Linked DNA regions of Caenorhabditis elegans. The protein of the gene in region 2 purifies or fractionates together with the protein of the main gene of each other region. This does not show direct contact. Each region holds a gene or a part of one and is shown on either strand. Other genes may lie near its edges.

Region 1 (8,172 bases), on a different chromosome or scaffold from region 2:
CAATTTGCGGGATTCGCGGGATTTGCCGACCGGCCCTTTAAAGTTAAAACAGTTCTCCAACGTTCAAAAAAAAAATGTTTCTTAACACCAAAAAAAAAAAACTCACCCCATTAAATAATATCATTATTCTTATTTTTCTAGCTCAGCTGAATAAGTATATCTAAACACTTTTCCATAATCTCCTAACCCGTAACTACTTAAATACCCACCTCCTCGATTGTCACTTCTCCTAGGATACTCAGTTAAACATCGAAAAGCTTAAATGTCAAAAAGAAAGGAAACTTTTTCCAGGTGTGTATTGAATTAGATGCAGGTGTTTTTTTTTGAATGCTTCATTTTTATTTAAATTCGATTTCAGGAGACCCTGACATTTTCGAGGTGAGGGTGGAGTTGGACGTGCAGATGTTTTAGAAAAGGTGTGGTTTTCTGGAAGTTCGAAAAAAAAGAGTATAGGAATATTTAGCATTAGTCCTTCCTTACTATTAAAGGTGGTGTAGGCGAATTTTTTTAAAATTGCCTTATTAGGCCCAAATTGCCTGAAAACATCGAATTTCATAGTGAAACTTCTTGAAAACTTTCCAGAAAAAAGTTATGACGACTCAAAAAATGACCTAAAATTAGTTAAAATCGGAAATTTGACTTGCCAAGCGGCTGGAAACATTTTTTTTTTTGAAATCACCGTCAAATTTTGAGTATAGAAGTTGATCATCTTGCGTTTTAAACTTGATTAAGGTATTTAAAAATCGATTGACGGCGAGTTTTGGTTTTAAAAAATTAAAAATCTCGCCGTCCATTGACTTTTAAATACCTTAATCAAGTTTAAAACGCAAGGTAATCAACTTGTATACTCGAAATTTGACGGTGATTTTAAAAAAATTGTTTCCAGACGCTTGGCAAGTCAAATTTCCGATTTTAACTAATTTTAGGTCATTGTTTGAGCCGTCATAACTTTTTTTTTGAGAAGTTTTCAAGAAGTTTCATTATAAAATTCGGTGTTTTCAGACAATTTTGAGTCTAATAAGGCAATAAAAACAATTCGACTACACCACCTTTAATCGTAAATATACAATGAGGATTGCTCATCCTTTTTATTTTCAATTTTCGTGTATTCAGTGTTTTTTTTTCATATTAATTCCCTATGTTTTAATCGTTCCACGGAAACCCGTAGGCATGGAATTTAAATTTAAAACAAAAAAATTAAGTTAGTGTTGTATATTTACGTGCTTGTTTAGTCCTTCAATTTCTACAATTTAAGGTTTCATTCAAAAAAAAAGTCAGGAATTTTTTTTTCTGACCAACTTTTTTCTAGTTCAAAACTCTCAAAGGCAACTAACTAGGTAGGCGCTAGAACGCCTGCCTGCCTGGCCTTGGCATGCCTCTCGCCTCACAACAATGCACATTGTTTTCCTTTCTTAATTTGATTTTTAACAAATTAATAGAAATTTGCAAATTTGAAAATTCACGTCAAAGTGCAGAAAATAGGCGAAAGGCTGGCGGGCAGGTTTCAGGCAGGCCCTGAAACCGAGCCTGCCTACCATGGAAGCCCCCCGGCTTCTGGGGCTGAAAAATATTTTTTCTGAAACTACCGTAACCCTACAGTATTCCTACTGTACCATTATTGTACCACTACAGTACCCCGACTATATCCCTACACTAAGCCCAACTCACTATCCCTCCAGAAGCTAAAACTTCACAGACTACAAAAACTACATAGACTACAAACTATGGACAAACGGAATAAGCGCTTTATATATAGTAAATGATATATATATATCATTTTAAAAACACCATCAAATTCCGAAATTTCTAATTTTTAAAAATTTCAAAACCCAGAAAATGCCGAAATATCCCAGCGCACCCCTGCTCTAGACTATCCTTATTACCTGTAATGGTGAAGCATCTACACTGGACGGCGGCGTCTCCTCCGGCTCCTTCTTCATCACCTTATCCGCCGTTTCTAGATCTTTGAGGATCATGCTGAAATTATTGATTTTATTATTTTTAACACTTTAATATTTCAAATGAGAACCTAAAAAATTTCAATCACTATCACCCTACCTGGACAACAAGCTCGTCGACATTTTCAGCCATCAAAAGCATAATACTCAAAACAAAAAAACTTAAATTCGCATCTCTTGCAGTGCCGCGCCGCTGAAGGAAAAAGGAGTAAACTATGACGTCAGCGGGGTGGCAAAAAAAGACGGTGGAGAAACTGATAATCGCTGATAAAAATGAACGAAAATGATCAGTGACGTCATCAGGTACAACACCTTGTGTCTTGTTTTCTTACGTCGCGATGAGAGAGAAATTTTTAAAAATAGAATTTTAATTACTTTATGAGTGACGAATAAATATTAGCAAGATGGGCAATTTTGAAATTCACAAATTTTTTTGTCGACAAATTCGGCGATTCGGCAAATTGCGGGAAATCTTAATTGCCGGCAATTTGCCGATTTTCCACAAATTTAAATTCCGGCAATGTGCCGATTTTCCACAAATTTAAATTCCGACAATGTGCCGTTTTGCCAGAAATTTCAATTCCGGCAAGTTGCCGATTTTCCGGAAAAAAAATCCTTTGTAGCCCATCCCTGGGTTGAATATAATGGGTTGAATAATACTCAGCTGCTAAATTTTGCGTTTTTCGCCTATGCGCCTTTAAAAAACGCTGAAATTTCAAATTCTTTATTTTTCGATAAAAATCATTTCAGTTTAAAAACCAGAGAGAACCATTTCGATGAAAATTCAATAGTTTTCTAAATTACTTGTACTCCTCTATTAGTACGGCATGTCTAATATGTTTTATTGCATTTTTTAATAAAAATCTATATAAAATTATATTATCCTTTACTATATAGCATTATTATTCACACTTCTGACTGATTGTTGTAATCATTTTGTATTCTATATGTTTTAATTTCGTTCAGTTCATCACAGCGGCTTCAAATCGGCTTTAACTGACTCAAAAGTGCGTCATTTTGATACAAAAACTCGAAAATGCTCACATCATAGTGTGTGTGAAATTTTTTATTTATGCACCAAGCGGCGAGAACCCAAATGTCTTTTCGAGGTCAATGACGTTTGATTGACGACGACGACGTGTTTTTCCGCAGAGCCCGGAGAGCACTAACAATAGATGTTGAAGGTGTTCCGGAAGGATATCCGGACTCCGGAGCAACTCGAATGTGGTGGGTCAACCGATTATCTTCGGGGGAACGGAAATGGGAGCTCGTTTGACACGAGCAACCGGGTCGCAATTGGTTTTCTAAACTGATCGATATGCCTAGGCTTAGCAGCTAGGCTCGGCTGCTAGCTAGGTCTAGGCTCAGCAGAGATTCTTATTGAGTAATTGATAAAATACTAGTGATTTATGTGTCCTTTTCAAAAAAACCTCAAGTTTGGGATAATATTTTAATTATATCAGTGATCAACTAAGTAGTAACACTTTTTAATAGGCCTCAAACTACTTCCGAACCTTTTTCACAGTTTGAGAACGTTTAAGTTGATAATTGTGTTAAAAACGTAGTAATATGTAAATTCAGAGGTTGAATAACATTTTATATAAATATGGTCAATAACGCAACGCAGATATATATATATATGTATATATACTTATTTGTTTGAATACAAAAGCACGATTTTTGTAGGTAACTTTCGAGAGGATTAGTACTTATGGTTTGGGGTTTGAATATTTTAATTCCCATGTGTTCAAATTTCACGCTAATGAGAATACCATGACTCATTGATGTGCATTATCTAACCTTCTCTGATTAAATGATAGTCTGCTCAGAACGACCATGGCAGCATCTTTGAACCGAATCCGATTATTTCCATTCTCGAACGGTGGGGTGCCTAACTGGTAGAGCGCATTTGGCGGGAAATTCGCCATCATTGCTTGAGCTGGCAAAAGTGGTGTGAAGCCCGGCAGTGGCGCATATTGCTGTGGAAGAACCACCGGCGGCGGAATCATTCTTGCCGGCGGTCGGAACGCGGAGAGCGTCGCCGTCGACGCCGGTGGAAGTGGTGAAGACGAAGACGTGGCGCCCTCTGAAGCTCGTGCGAGAAGTTTTTTTTTTGTTGAAAGATCAATAAGAGGAGGTAATGAAGCGGAGAGATGTGAAAAATCATTGAAGAGGAACGATAAAAAAGAATGGAATATTAATTTCGAGAATAAATGTGTCTGACTGACTATTCTGATCTTATAAATTTCTAATATAAATTGTCCCATCATGAATCACCGCGGGTACCTACAAATTTGTGAATATTTGGCAAAACAAAGCTTGTTGATCTGCAGTTGCCACGTGAGAAGCTTCATACTCCTTACATGAGAAAAATGCAAGGCATCGTGGGAATGTTGAAAGATCATAGTTTGATCATTTAGATGTTTGCTATAAAGGATTAACGTCTAATTAGTGATTATGATATCTTTAGTAGGATCCCAAGGTCATAGTCTTAATGTCGGTAGTATCAGTAAAGTGATTTTACAAAAAAACTTTAATTGACACCGCAAAATCCAAACTAGTTCAGAAAAAATTCCAAAATTTATATTCAGAATAGCTCAATATGGAAGAAAGTCTGCGAAATAACCAGGAAGTGGGCGGGGTTAAAGGTGGTGTAGTCGAATTTTTTTATTGCCTTATTAGATTCAAAATTGTCTGAAAACACCGAATTTCATAATGAAACTTCTTGAAAACTTTTCAGAAAAAAGTTATGACGGCTCAAAAAATGGCCTAAATTAGTTAAAATCGGAAATTTGACCAACTTCTCAATGTCGTAGCGGCTGGAAACAATTTTTTTTGAAATTACCGTTAAATTTTGAGTATACAAGTTGATTATCTTGCGTTTTAAACTTAATTAAGGTATTTAAAAGTCGATGGACGGCGAGTTTTGGATTTAAAAAATTAAAAGTTTCGCCGTCCATCGATTTTTAAAAACCTTAATCAAGTTTAAAACGCAAGATAATCAACTTGTATACTTAAAATTTAACGGTGATTTCAAAAAAAAATGTTGCCGCTGCGACATTGATAAGTTGGTCAAATTCCAAATTTTAACTAATTTTAGGCCATTTTTTGAGCCGTCATAACTTTTTTATGAAAAGTTTTCAAGATGCTTCATTATGAAATTCGGTGTTTTCAGACAATTTTGAGTCTAATAAGGCAATGAAAAAAATTCGACTAAACCACCTTTAAAGTTGTATAAAAAACTCAAATTCCAAGAGAGGTGTGAGATTCTCTTTAAACCAAACTTTGGAAACTATAGAAAAAGATCTATGAAGTCTATGAAGTTGTGCTGATTACAAAACATCCAATAGCACAGAAAGACTCTCTGCTGCTAATCTGCTTAGTATTCAGAGAAGAGACGACCTAAAACCAATGTTCTGAGGGTGGAGGTCGGGTGCTCATTTCTAATTAAATCAAGCACACACATACACACACACACATACACAGAGAGAGGGGCACAAGAACCACCTTCAAGATGATGATGATGATGTTGAAAAAAAGAAGAGAAATGGAGGGAAAACGGTCCATATCAGATTTCTTTTCCTCCCCCCCCCCCCCTCTTTTGAGGTGGGGGTGGTAATGGCTGCTGACTCCGCCCCCACCACCACCAGCTCTCTACTCGAGTAATTCAGTGAGATATTGAAGAGAGCGGAAGACGAAGAGATATCTCACCACCACCCACAACTTGTTGTCCTCTACCTCTTTTCAGAGAGAAAAAAAAAGAGTATGTTGCTCTTTGGATAGAGTTGACCGCAATTTGTGTTTTGTTGGGGGATATGGGTTCTGGGAAATAAATATATTGATTGGCAACAGTGTTGTTTTAGAATTCGGCTATTAAACAACTTGCAGTTCACCGAATATTTTAAAACTTAAAAAGAGTGGCCAAGTTTGTCGAACAAATCAGAAGTTGCCTTTTTTCAAACGATCGTCGAATCAGTCTGTAGGTTCCACAATTGCCGATTTTCCGAAAGATTCGAAATTGGCAATTTTGCCAATAGTATATTAATAGTAATAATTTATATCCAACAATTCCTGAAATCGGTTATTTCCGATTTTGCAGAATTGTAGAAAACATCCGAGATGGGCATTTTTTTCAAGCGCCAAATTGTTTTTGGGCTTGAAAGTGCGCCAATTGTCAACTTGTGGCACTTTACAAAGTTCGGCAATGTCGGAAGATGCCAAGTTTGCCAATAACTTTTAATGACAAAATGCCGATAATTCCTAAAATCGGTTATTTCCGAATTTGCAGAATTTTAGAAAACTTCGCAATTTTCAAATTGCACCAGGGGTGGGCGGCAAGCGATTTTTTCCGGCAAATCGGCAAATCGGCAAATCGGCAAACTGAATTGCACCCAACCAATCGCTAAAGAACATTTAAAAATACAAAAAAATGACATCAGTGTCACCTGTGAGCTTAACAAAAAAAAATAGTAAACTCCGGTTTGCATAGAAATCCTATTCAACAAAAAAATCAAACGATTTCCTGTCACCAATTTCCTGTTAGCCTCTTCGTCTTCTCTCCTAATCCTGCTGCTCTGAAACTAAAACTGAAACACACACACATCGACTTCTGCTCCTTGGAATCTGCCGGCCGGGGGATTAATAAATTGATAATAATTGTATTAAAATCTCCATTTATGTGCGGCAAAAAGGCTATGGGGAGAAGCCAGTCACTTAAACCACAAGTCACATCTTTTTTGTGGCGGCTCTCTGGCTTAGCCACCCCCAAAAAATGGCTCAAATATCATGGTCAAGGAGCTGAAGCTTCAGATCATATGTGTGTGTGTGTGTGTGTGTGTGTGTGTGTGTGTGTGTGTGTGTGTGTGTGTGTGTGTGTGTGTGTTTCTGTGTGTCAGCACCTTCTCCAGTTTACATAAAGGTTTTGCAGAGCATTTTTGAGTGAGCTCAAAAAAGATTATAGGCTTCTTTCAAATTTCAATTGCTCCCTCGAGCCGTAAACGCTAATGAACACCTGAGATTCTAGACAGAGAGCATTATTGTGCTCTGAGCTCCTAAGAGATGAACAGAAAAAAAAACCAAATGAGTAGTAAATGAGAAGCTCTTCTGATTTTCAGAGAAAGAGGATATTATTGCGGGTGGCACTGCCAGGAAGTTCATGTCTCATTGTTCGGAAAAAAAACCGCCGAAGGGCTTCATAATTATCATGAAGGTCTTCGGTGTCAAAAAATTGGATGAGGATTAGAGGTGAATGCCATCGGAAATAGATTCTTCTCCAGGTGCATTTTTTAAGGGGGATTCTAGGAATATCGGATGGCTTGTGGCCACATTTTCTCGAAAAATCGGCTTCACCAATTTGTAGCAGGCAAGTTTCATGGGCTACCGGCCGAGATTTAGAAAACTCGGCCACCATGAAAAAGTGACGTCTCACGGGTAATAAAAAATGATCTACAAGTTGTCGAGGAACGGGGGCCCTAGAAATGGAGCACACAAAAAAAATTCGTCAGCGGCGGCGTGCTCCATTCATTTCCGTGAAGACGTTGCTGCAGATGAATAATTTGCGGTTTTCCGTCACCGCCGCAGCCCGAGAGAGGTGCAGAAAAACATAGAGATGGAAAAGGAGAAGCGAGCAAATGTTTTTGCAACAAGAAACAAACCTTCGACCTTTTGGGTGAAGCAGTCGATTAGCCAAATTATCGAAAAATGAGCGTTGGCGGATTAAAACTTTGAAAAAAGTGCAATCGAACCTAGATGACTTCGGAGCGGAAAATTTTTTTGTAGAAGTTTTAGCATCGAATTATGATAAAGAATCATAGAATTCAACAGACTTCTTGAATGATCATTATCCGAATAAATCCAGATTAAAATCAACTTTTCAGGCTCTTTTTCAGCTATGGCTTTTGGAAAAAAGTTGCATTCCGGCTCAGTCTTTAAGTTGTAGAAAATTACATGTCTAATCATAGCTCTGCCTGACATTCCGACAAAAAATTTCGTGAGAAAGAAGAATTCTGAGCAACAGCAGCTACAAAGATTGAAACCTTTTGCAACCGTAACCCGGCAATCAGTAAAAGGATAGCATCATTCCGAAAACCGGATTGAGAGCCGGAGAAAGGGCATGTAACCTGGTTATTAGCTGAACTAATCCTCGATGATGATATTATTGTTGAAGAAAGGGAGGAGGATTTTCAGCCGAGCGGAGTTGATTCTTCGTCTCTTT
Region 2 (11,348 bases):
TCGTGGTGAGACCCTTCGTGGTGAGACCCATCGTGACGAGACCCATCGTGACGAGACCCATCGTGGTGAGACCCATCGTGATGAGACCCATCGTGGTGAGACCCTTCGTGGTGAGACCCAAATTTTTGGCGGGAAATTCAAATTTTCAGTGAAAAAAATTTTGGCGGGAAATTCAAATCAGTGAAAAAAAATTTTGGCGGGAAATTCAAATTTTCAGTGAAAAAGTTTTGGCGGGAAATTCAAATTTTCTGTGAGAAAAATTTTGGGGGAAATTCAAATTTTCAGTGAAAAAAATTTTGGCGGGAAATTCAAATTTTCAGTGAAAAACATTTTGGCGGGAATTTCAAATTTTCAGTGAAAAACATTTTGCCGGGAAATTCAAATTTCTGAGAAAAAATTTTTGGCGGGAAATTCAAATTTTCTGAGAAACTTTTTGTTAGCTTAAGTACCACCTGGAACTGGCGAGACCTATCGTGGTGAGACCCTTAAAAATATGGGCGGGAACTTCAAAATTTATGAGAAAAGAAATTTTAGCGGGAAATTCAAATTTTCTGAGGAAAACATTTGGCGGGAAATCCAAATTTTTGTTCTGGAATCAATTTTTTTGTTTCAGCACCTTCTGGAAGTTTCAAGAAAATTCTAGACTGTTCTAGAATCATCTGGAAAATTTAAAAAAGTTCTGAAATGCTCTACAACCTCCTAAAACTGTAGGAGTTTTTATTTGTTTCGTTACATCTATATTCAAAGAACTTACTATTAGTAGTTAATTATTCAGACTTCTCCAGTTAAGGAAAGTTGTTAACTTATTAAAAAAACTGTAACCCTGTGGAATTTTTTCGAAAGCCTGATAATGATAATGTGTAGTAGAAAAATCAGAACATTCTAACTGTCTCTTTGAATTTTCTGAATAGTATACCATGGAAGGAGAAAATGCGATTTAATCGATGAAGTTTCAATTTTTTTTAATGAGACATTTTTGAATGATTAAAAGGACATCTATTTGTTATACATTTTAAACTCCGCCAGTCGTTGGCCGCGCCGGAGGCGCGGTCATCGGCTGGTTATCGAATAAAATGTCACGATTTGAAGTTTCGAAGTTTGTAGTTTGTAGTCTAGCAGACCAATTTTCAATACATCTCTGGAGTCACTTGGATTTCTCTGAAAAATATTTTTTAAAAATGAGGAATATTTGGAGATTAGAAGTGAAAATTTTGTAAAAATTGCTTTAAATCGAGATTTTCCAGGCTAAGGAGTTAATTTTCAGTGAGAAAACCGTCTGAAAACGCAAAAAATCCAAGTTTTTCAATTAAAAAACCCATTGGTCTGCTAAATCGAAATTTGTAGTTTGTAGCCTAGCAGACCCATTCTCTTCAAAATCACTTGGGTCTGCTAAATCGAAATTTGTAGTTTGTAGCCTAGCAGACACTTGAATCATCTGATTTGTCTGAAATTCTGAAAAAATTCGCGTTTGATTTGACTGTGAAACAACAAAAAAAAATCGAATTTCTAACTCAAAATTTACTCACAATTTCAAAATTCACACGATTTTCCCGCTAGAATGCCGAGAAAAACGTGGTTGAGAGAGGTGATTTAACAGAAAAAGACGAAAAAAAAGGGCGCGGAAAATTATAATTTTGAAGAATTCGAAGAATCTAATGTTGCTTCATTTGGTATGGTGGAATGAGTCCGGATGTCTCGGCGCGAGCCTTCTTCTCTGCCTCGATCTCGTCCAAATATGGCTTCAAGTACCACGATTCCTGAAGAAAAATAGATTTTTTAAAGTTGAATTTCGAGTGAAAAGCTACCTGATCCCATTGAGTCCATTCAGCCTTTGGAAGCTTCTCGCCGTGGAGAGCCAAAGTGTGGGCACGTGAAAGACGGATCTGAAGTAAAAAAAGATTGAAAATTCCAATTTTTAATCGATTTTCTCACCTTTCTCTGATCGAAAACGTGTGGCTCCTGGAGATTAAGGCGTCTGAGAGCCTCGGTGACTTCTGGAGCCGGCTCAAAGTAGGTGTCGTGGAATTGGAGCCCGTACTCGCGTCCTCCCCACAAGTTGCTCCATGCGAACTTGCGAAGCGTGCTGGCGATCGTGCCGTTGTAGGCGAAGGTGACGGCTTTTGAGGCGGCTTGACTGGCCATTTCGTTACCTGAAAAGAAAAAAATAAAAGAAAATTAGTGGGGAATTCTGGGGAAAAGCTGAAGAAAAACTGAAAAAATACAAGTTTTCACATGTTTTTCGGGAAATATCGATTTTTAGCTCAATTTCTCGGATTTTAAATGATTTTCTTGAGATTTTTTACATAAAGTCACTTATAACAAGCAAAAAATTAGGCAAAAATGCACAATTATCATTGAAAACTCTTAAAAATCCGGCAAAAACAAAGATAATGCAAAAAATTCTCAAAAATCAGATTCCAAGCGATTTCTCGAGTTATTTTACAAATTTACGCATTAAAACTGTCAGAAAACCTCATAAAGCTGATTTTTGTGCTTAAAATGCAAAAAAAATCGGAATTTCCAGCTAAAAATCAAAGAAAACCGAATGAAAAGGAAAATTATGAATTCGGCGGTGTCGCTAAACAACACGCAGGGTGTTATTTCGGAGCATCGTTGTGAACAAATTTTTGGAAATTAATTTTCTCAAGCTTTCAAGCATTGAGAACCTAATTTTTTGAAGTTAAAATACACATTTTATGATGGTTTTTTCTAATAAACTAAAGAAAAATTTCATAGGAATCGATTAAAGGGAAATTGAAGTATTTTATTTTTAACTAACGCCATGTAGCAGATAGATAATATGTTTTTTCAAAGTTTACTATGTTAAAATACTCCTTAGAACTTGATGAATTCAGATTTTTCACCAGAAACGTTGCCGGATGAGTATTTTGTGAAAAAAAAATAAGAAAATTGGCTGAAGTTTGATTTACGGTAAACAACACGCGCCTCGTTATTTCGGAGCTTCGTTGCAAGTGATTTTTTTTCGATAATTTTTTTTTCGAATTAATTAATTTTTTCATTAAATTGAACCGATTTCTATTGATTTTCTATTTTAAAATTGCGAAAATAAACAAATAAAAAATTTTAGTCGTTAATCTCTCAACTTTCACCCGTCAATTTTAATGTTTTAGGTCAAAAAATGGAGACAGTTATCGAAAATCGGGATTTGGACGGGTTAAAGGAGGTTGTGAAGGCGGAAAAAAAGACTGCGTGAGTTTTTAAAAGAATTATCAGATAAATAATGCAATTTTACAGGAAAGACGACGAATTTGTGCTTCTAAAAGTCGACGGGTTTCTGAAAAAGCGGGGATTCAAGGTCGCCGAGCAGCCTTCAGCCACCAAGGAAGAGCTTGCAAGGCGGCATTTTCATTTTGTGATGAATTGCTCCAAGCTTGGTAATTATTTTCTCGAAATTTCGTTTAAAAATGAGTTTTTTGCAGGTTTGTGCTCCAAAAACACTCCCCTGAGCACTCTACAGGACCTCTTGGAGATGAGCTCAATTGAGGAGTGTAAGCAGATTTTCAGCATAGTAGAAGAGAATATGAACGAGTTTAAGCAGGTAAAAAGCCGGTTTTCAAAGAATTTTCCCGATAAAAAGCGGATTTTTTGCAGCCCGGCTTCATTGAAACCGCCCAGAACAATATTCTACGCTTCTGCAACGATTTGCTCCGCCGCTTGAGTAGAACCGCTGAAACATCGTTCTGCGGAAGAATTATGTTCTTTCTCTCGAGGTAAAAAGCGAAACATTTTCGAAAAATCCCAAAATTTCCTGCGAAAAACTCAATTTTTTCCAGATTCCTCCCGCTAACCGAAAAATCCGGTGTAAACTTTATGGGACACTTCAACACGCTTAACGTTACCAACTACGACGAGGTATTTTTTCGGTTTTTGGACTGAAAAATCGCAAAAAATCGCAAAATTTCAGTCTGAAACCGACGGTGAAGCTCTTCTCGCTGCCACGTCATCGGCTCCAACACCTACGGAAGGAGCAGAGGATATGGAAACTGGAGAAATCGAAGAGGATAACTCAAAGTACGGAAAAATCGGAAAAAAGCGAGAAATTTCCACTGAAAAATATCATTTACCTGAATTTTTTGGGTCTGCTAGACTACAAACTACAAATTTCGATTTAGCAGACCCATGTGGTTTTGAAGAGAATGGGTCTGCTAGACTACAAACTACAAGTTTCGATTTAGCAGACCCATGTGGTGTTGTAGAGAATGGGTCTGCTAGACTACAAACTACAAATTAGCAGACCAAATGGTTTTTTAATTGAAAAACTTGGATTTTCAGCGATTTCAGACGGTTTTCGTACTGAAAATTGACTTTTTAAGCTAGAAAATCGCAGTTTTGAGCATTTTTTACATGATTTTTCGAATATTTGCTCATTTTTCAGAGAAATCCAAGTAACTCCCGAGATGTATCGCCAGTTTTGGTCCCTTCAAAAATTCATGTCAAATCCGAATTCAATATACGAAAAGGAGAAGTTTTTGACGTTTAAAACGGTAATTTTTCGCTGAAAATCACTGAAAATTGAGGTTTTTTGGCCGGAAAAATCGCTGAAATTCCACAAATTCTAACTGAAAATCGCCAAAAATCCCTTTTTTTCAGGATTTGACAGCAGTTCTCACCCTAATGACGTCGAATAAGCTGGAAAAACTCTCCTCCGAAGAGGAAGAAGCTCTGGAAAATCGACAGAAAAAGCAGCAAAAAGGATCCAGTAACGACGTGTTTTTTACCAAATATTTGACGTCTCCAAAGGTAAAATTGGCTGGAAAATTGATGAAAATCGATTTAAAAATGATTGAAAACTGGAAAAAATGATTTAAAAAAGCTGAAAAACGCTGAAAAATGACCAAAATTCCCACTAAATCATCGATTTTCTCCCAGAATTCCCCCAAAAATCTCAAAATTTTTATTTTTTTTCCAGCTTCTCGCCCTCCAACTCAACGATTCTTCATTCCGACGGTACTTTTTAATGCAGGCGATCATTATTTTTCAATATTTGACAGCAGAATCTCGATTTAAACCCCCGGCAAAGTGAGTTTTCGACCGAAAAATCGAGGTTTTGACCTAAAAATTGCGATTTTTGAGTCAAAAACCGTATTTTTTGACCGATTTTCAGCAGAAAATATGATTTTTTGACCGGAAAATTGCGATTTTTGAGTCAAAAACTGCACTTTTTGACCGATTTTCAGTAGAAAATATGATTTTTTTGACCTAAAAATTACTTTTTTTTAAAGTCAAAAACTCTATTTTTGACCGATTGTCAGCAGAAAATATGATTTTTTTGACCTAAAAATTGCTTTTTTTTTTAGTCAAAAACTGTATTTTTGACCGATTTTCAGTAGAAAATATGATTTTTAATCAAAAAAATTTCCAGAAAAATGGTGCTAAACGAGGATCAAGCGAAATATGTGTCAGAATGTGAGGATAAATGCTATAGATTGCTGGCTGATACGATGCCACGTGGCACTGCATTCGTTGCCGGGCTCAAGCGAATTATGCTCCGCGAGCAGGAGTGGAATACGTGGAAAAATGCGAATTGTGCAGATTTTTCCGAAAAAGCCGATAAAGGAGCCATGCAGATGTACAAAAAGTGCGGAAAAATTTGAATTTTTAGCTGAAAATCGTGAAATTTACCGAAAAAAATTGATTTTTAAGCTGAAAAATCGCAGGAAAAGCTGGAATTTCCAGCTGAAAATGTAATTTTTGGCTAAAAATTCCCATTATTGTGGTGAAAAATTGCTGAAAAGAGAAATTCTTGGCGGAAAATCTTGATGTTTGCCGAAAAAAAATTTTTTAAGCTGAAAATTGGAAAAAAAGTAGCAATTTTTAGCTACAAAAGCTGAAAAAACCCACTATTAAGGTGAAAAATTAGAAAAAATTGAATTTTTTAGCTGAAAATCAAGAAATGGATTTTTAACTATTAGATTTAAGAAATTTGGAATTTTCAGCTGAAAATATCCATTTTGTGCTGAAAATTGCACAGTTTCAGCGGAAATTTGAGAAAAAAAAAGATTTTTAGCTGAAAATCTTGAAATTTTCCGAAAAAGTTGATTTTTATGCTGAAAATTAGACAAAGTTGTGATTTTCATCTGAAAATATCCATTTTTGCAGTGAAAATTGCACAGTTTCAGCGGAAATTTGAGAAAAAAAAAAGATTTTTAGCTGAAAATCTTGAAATTTTCCGAAAAAGTTGATTTTTAGGCTGAAAATTAGACAAAGTTGTGATTTTCATCTGAAAATATCCATTTTTGCAGTGAAAATTGCACAGTTTCAGCGGAAATTTGAGAAAAAAAAAAGATTTTTAGCTGAAAATCTTGAAATTTTCCGAAAAAGTTGATTTTTAGGCTGAAAATTAGACAAAGTTGTGATTTTCATCTGAAAATATCCATTTTTGCAGTGAAAATTGGCAATTTTAAGCTAGAAAAGCTGAAAATACCCATTATTGTGGTGAAAAATTTTAAATACATATAATTTTTAGCTGAAAATCTTGAAATTTTCCGAAAAAAATTGATTTTTAAGCTGAAAATTGAAAAAAGTTGTAATTTTCATATGAAAATATCCATTTCTGCAGTGAAAAATGCACATTTTCAGCGGAAAATTGAAAAAAAAAATCTCAAAATCTCAGAAAAAAAATTCCCCCCAATTTCCAGACGGCAACGCATTCCATTCAACCCAAATTCTCTCGATCTTGGAACTCCTGAGCTCACAAAACTCTGGACAAATGAGCCCGATGTGCTCAAAGCCTGTAAATCGGATAAGAGGTATGTAGGCTTGAAATTGGAGAAAATTGAAGAAAATTGCAGAAAATTGCATAAAATTACAGAAAATTACAGAAAATTACGGAAAAATCAAGCTTAATCTCGAAAAATTCCAAAACCAGTTTTTTTTTTGCAAAAATTTAGTTTTAAAAGCATGTTTTATATCTCAAAACCTCAAAATATGTAGATAGAAGCTTAAATAAAAGTTTAAATTCCAGAAAATTCATCCCAAAACTGCCGGATTTCATTCGCGATCCGATTGACGAGATGGATCCCGAGCAGCAAGTCGAGGAGCAGTATAAGTGAGTTTTTGACAGAAAATATCACGATTTTCGACTAAAAATCGCTGAAATTTCATGATTTTTAGCTGAAAATATGTGAAATTTCACGTTTTTCCACTGAAAACCCCCTACTTTTTCCAGACAAATCAACGATAGCGCATTCCAATGGCGAGCCGCCCGTCTCCTAATGCACAAATCTCCGGGATACGTGACAAAAACCGACACAAAAACCGATCCGACGACTAATATCAAGGAATTTTTGGAGAGAAATATGTATAATGCGGCAAAGAATTTTAATGTAAGCCTGAAAATTGGCTGAAAATCAGCTAAAAAACTGCATTTTTTGCCTGAAATTTACTGAAAAAGCGCTGAAAACCTGCCAGAATTTCCCAAAAATCGACAATTTTTCAGGAATTCAAGGAATCGATCGAGAATCGTGAGAAAAAGGAGGCAGAAGCTCGGAAAAAAGTGGAAGAATCGCTCAAAAGGAAGCTCGATTCGTCAAAAGTGAAGCCAAGGTGCTTAAAAACTGAAAATCGGCTGAAATTCAGCTAAAAATCGTATATTTTCCATGATTTTTCAGCTTTTTCCATCAAAAATCAGCTCTTAAAGTCGATTTTTAACTGTAAAAATCACAAATTTCTACATTTTTCCATTAAAAACGGCTGAAATCTCATATTTTTGTTGATTTTTCAGCTTTTTCCAGCAAACAGCGATTTTCAACAAAAAAAAACCGCTAAAAATTTGAGTTTTAACGATTTTTAGCCGGAAAAATCGCTGAAAATGCACTTTTTTCAGAAAATTTCACTCAAAATGTCTAGAAAATATGAAAAAAGATCATTTTTTTAGTGTAAAACCCGTAAAAAATCACACAAACCGCCTATTTTCAACGAAAAATTGGATTTTTAACGATTTTCAGAGGAAAAAACCGAAAAAAGCCACAATTTCCAATTTTTTCAGAATTTTCCGCTTTGAAAATTGCTAAAAATTCATTTTTTGCAAGAATAAACGCGGAAAATTCACTGAAAAAATACATTTTTTGAAAAAAAAAAGGTGCATTTTCAGAGATTTTTCCGGCTAAAAATCGCTGAAAATATTGATTTTGAACGATTTTTAGCCTGAAAAATTGCCGAAAATCCGCATTTTTTTGATGGAAAAAATACGAAAAAATCCAATTTCCCACCGATTTTCGACAAAAATCGCTGAAAATTCACTTTTTTTCAGAAAATTTCACGCAAAATGTCTAGAAAATATGAAAAAAGATCATTTTTTAGTTTAGTATAAAACCCGTAAAAAATCACAAAAACTGAAAATCTCGGCGAAAAATCGTATTTTTCCATGATTTTTCAGCTTTTTCCAGCAAAAATTGACTCAGACAACCGATTTTTAACAGTAAAAATCACAAATTTCTATATTTTTCGATTAAAAATGACTGAAATCTCATATTTTTCATGATTTTTCAGCATTTTCCATCAAAAATCGGCTGTAAAAACCGATTTTTAACTGAAAAAATCACAAATTTCTACATTTTTCCATTAAAAATGGCTAAAAATCGTATTTTTCCATGATTTTTCAGCTTTTTCCATTCAAAATCGGCTCAGAAAACCGATTTTTAACTGTAAAAATCACAAATTTCTACATTTTTCCATTAAAAATCGGCAAAGATATTGATTTTGAACGATTTTGAGCCGAAAAATCGCTGAAAATGCATGTTTTTCAGAAAATTTCACTCAAAATGTCTAGAAAATATGAAAAAAAAAGATCAATTTTTTAGTGTAAAACCCGTAAAAATTCATAAAAACTGAAAATCTCGGCCAAAAATAGTATTTTTCCATGATTTTTCAACTTTTTCCATCAAAAATCAGCTCTAAAAATCGATTTTTAACTGTAAAAATAACAAATTTCTACATTTTTCCATTAAAAATGGCTAAAAAGCATATTTCCCATGATTTTTCAGCTTTTTCCATCAAAAATCAGCTCTAAAAATCGATTTTTAACTGTAAAAATCACAAATTTCTACATTTTTCCATTAAAAATGACTAAAAAATCGTATTTTTCCATGATTTTTCAGCTTTTTCCATTCAAAATCGGCTCAGAAAACCGATTTTTAACTGTAAAAATCACAAATTTCTACATTTTTCCATTAAAAGTAGCTGAAATCTCATATTTTCCATGATTTTTCAGCTTTTTCATTCAAAATCAGCTCTAAAAATCGATTTTTAACTCTAAAAATCGCAGAAAATCCCAAATTTTCCATTTTTTCCAGCCAAACATCTTCTCCGAACCCCTACACAGATACAATTCTCTCGGATGAGCATCTCACCCAGTTGGCTCGAGATTTATCGAAATTTAAATCAAATCTCGCGAAATGCTTTGGCACAAAGCTCCCCGCCGATGACGTCACCAGTGATGAGAAGATTTGCTTTAAAATTCTCAAAAGTTGGGCTGAAAAGAATGGGAGAAGCGGGCGGAGTCTGTTGAATACGCTAATTACCGATTTGGATGTGATTGAGGTGGCTCAGGCGAGCATGAAGGTACGGTTTTTCAGCGAAAAAATGAAGAATTTCAGCGAAAAATCATTTTAAAAATGAAATTTAACGCGAAATTTCACAACAACCACATGGGTCTGCTAAATCGAAAATTGTAGTTTGTAGTCTAGCAGACCAGTTTTCATCAAAACCACTTGGGTCTGCTAATTCGAAGTTTGTAGTTTGTAGTCTAGCAGACCCATCCTTTTCAAAGCCACAATGGTCTGCTAAATCGAAACTTGTAGTTTGTAGTCTAGCAGAACCATTCTCTTCGAAACCTTATGGGTCTGCTAAATCGAAATTTGTTGTTTGTAGTCTAGCAGACCACTTTTTTTCAAAATCTCTTGGGTCTGCTAAATAGAAATGTGTAGTTTGTAGTTTAGTAGACCGCTTTTCATCAAAACCACATGGGCCTGCTAAATCGAAATGTGTAGTTTGTAGTCTAGCAGACCCATTTTGAATTCCTTTTTATTAAAAAAAAATAAATTTTGATTAAAAAACATTAATTTTAAAAATATCGAAATTTGCCGCTTTAATAAATCCTTTTTTTCAGAAAATCAACGAATCGACTGCATAATTCGCCTTCAAATTGCTGTAAAATCGGATTTCTTCATTATTTTTCACTTTAACTTATTAATTTTACCCTTAAATTTGTTTTTTTTTCGGTCTCATTGCCTGTTTTTTATTCATTTTTTCTCCTTTTTTTTTCATATCAAAATTTGTATTTTTACTATTTTTTTCTGCAATTTTTTCTTGTTAATGGCGTTTTTCATCGCCGGTTTTAACTTGAAATTTCTAATTTTCAGATTAATTTTAATGCCATTTTCAGCTTAAAAAATGCCTGCATTTTTTGTAAAAGCCGGCGCCAAAAAGAGCGGCGGTGGAGCTGCAGCGACTAGGAAAAGAGTGAGCTTTTCCTTCCTTTTTTCGCCAAAAAATTAAAATTTTTTATAGAAAAATGGTGGAAAATCGGATGCAAAAAGCGAGGAGATGGCCGCCAAAATGTCACGACGTCAGAAGATTATGGCAGCTACGGAAATTCATTCGGATGAGGAGGTTTATTCGCTGAAAAACTGAAAAAAAAAATGAGCAAAAATCGACGGATTTTCCGTTAAAAATCTAAATTTTTAGTGAAAAACTCTTGTTTTTTAACTAAAAAATTAGAAAAATTCAAATTTTTCAATATTTTCTTGTTCCAGGACTCACTCGCCGGAAGCGCCGCAGCATCAGAAGCCGGAAGTGACGTGGAATACGAGGATGCACACGAGAGAAATTATCGAGAAGCCAAGAAGCTTTTGGACAAGATTCAGGTGAAAAATGACTGAAAATCCGGGAATTTCACATCGAAAACCTGCGAAAATTACGAATTTTTCACCAGATTGACTGCTCAAAAATTCAATTTTAAGCTCAAAAATTCAATTTTAGAGCTAAAATTCATTTTTAAGCTCAAAAACCTTAATTTTAAGCTCAAAAATTCCAGATTTTCAGCCCAAAACTTCCCAAATTTCAGAGCACAACAACGACACAAGAGGAGGTGGCAGAGAAGCTCCGGGACGATGCAGTTGCACGTACAGGAACACAAGTTAAACGAGTTGCCGATGTGGTTGAGCTTGAAGATGATCTGGAAATTAGCTATAAACCACATAGGTACAGTAATCCGGCCCGTAACCTGAAAAAAATTTTGCGAAAAAACCAGAGTTTTCCAACTGAAAATGCTCAAAATTTCACTGAGAAAAATATAAAAATCGCTGAAATTTTGGAAAATTGAAGTC

Evidence for each region.
Region 1: the proteins of thoc-1 (region 2) and crh-1 purify together in Caenorhabditis elegans (affinity purification with western blotting; one study listed by BioGRID). This does not show direct contact.

What each region holds. Positions count from the first base shown.
Region 1 is NC_003281.10:11,679,015-11,687,186, reverse strand, and holds the start of crh-1 (CREB homolog crh-1), read right to left. Parts: upstream 4,226-8,172; coding exon 3,759-4,225; intron 1,978-3,758; coding exon 1,884-1,977; intron 1-1,883. UniProt on the Caenorhabditis elegans protein: Transcription factor. Transcriptional activity probably positively regulated by phosphorylation. Modulates expression of target genes, acting by binding to regulatory cAMP response elements (CRE).
Region 2 is NC_003280.10:698,976-710,323, forward strand, and holds thoc-1 (Death domain-containing protein), read left to right. Parts: upstream 1-3,131; 5' UTR 3,132-3,139; coding exon 3,140-3,210; intron 3,211-3,255; coding exon 3,256-3,395; intron 3,396-3,440; coding exon 3,441-3,559; intron 3,560-3,612; coding exon 3,613-3,731; intron 3,732-3,794; coding exon 3,795-3,873; intron 3,874-3,925; coding exon 3,926-4,032; intron 4,033-4,396; coding exon 4,397-4,505; intron 4,506-4,611; coding exon 4,612-4,761; intron 4,762-4,930; coding exon 4,931-5,040; intron 5,041-5,383; coding exon 5,384-5,599; intron 5,600-6,659; coding exon 6,660-6,770; intron 6,771-6,985; coding exon 6,986-7,069; intron 7,070-7,189; coding exon 7,190-7,346; intron 7,347-7,459; coding exon 7,460-7,566; intron 7,567-9,314; coding exon 9,315-9,633; downstream 9,634-11,348. Other genes in the region: T02H6.11 (Cytochrome b-c1 complex subunit 7), read right to left, coding at 1,653-1,757, 1,806-1,883, 1,933-2,142; T02H6.1 (WD_REPEATS_REGION domain-containing protein), read left to right, coding at 10,414-10,482, 10,531-10,632, 10,776-10,886, 11,087-11,223.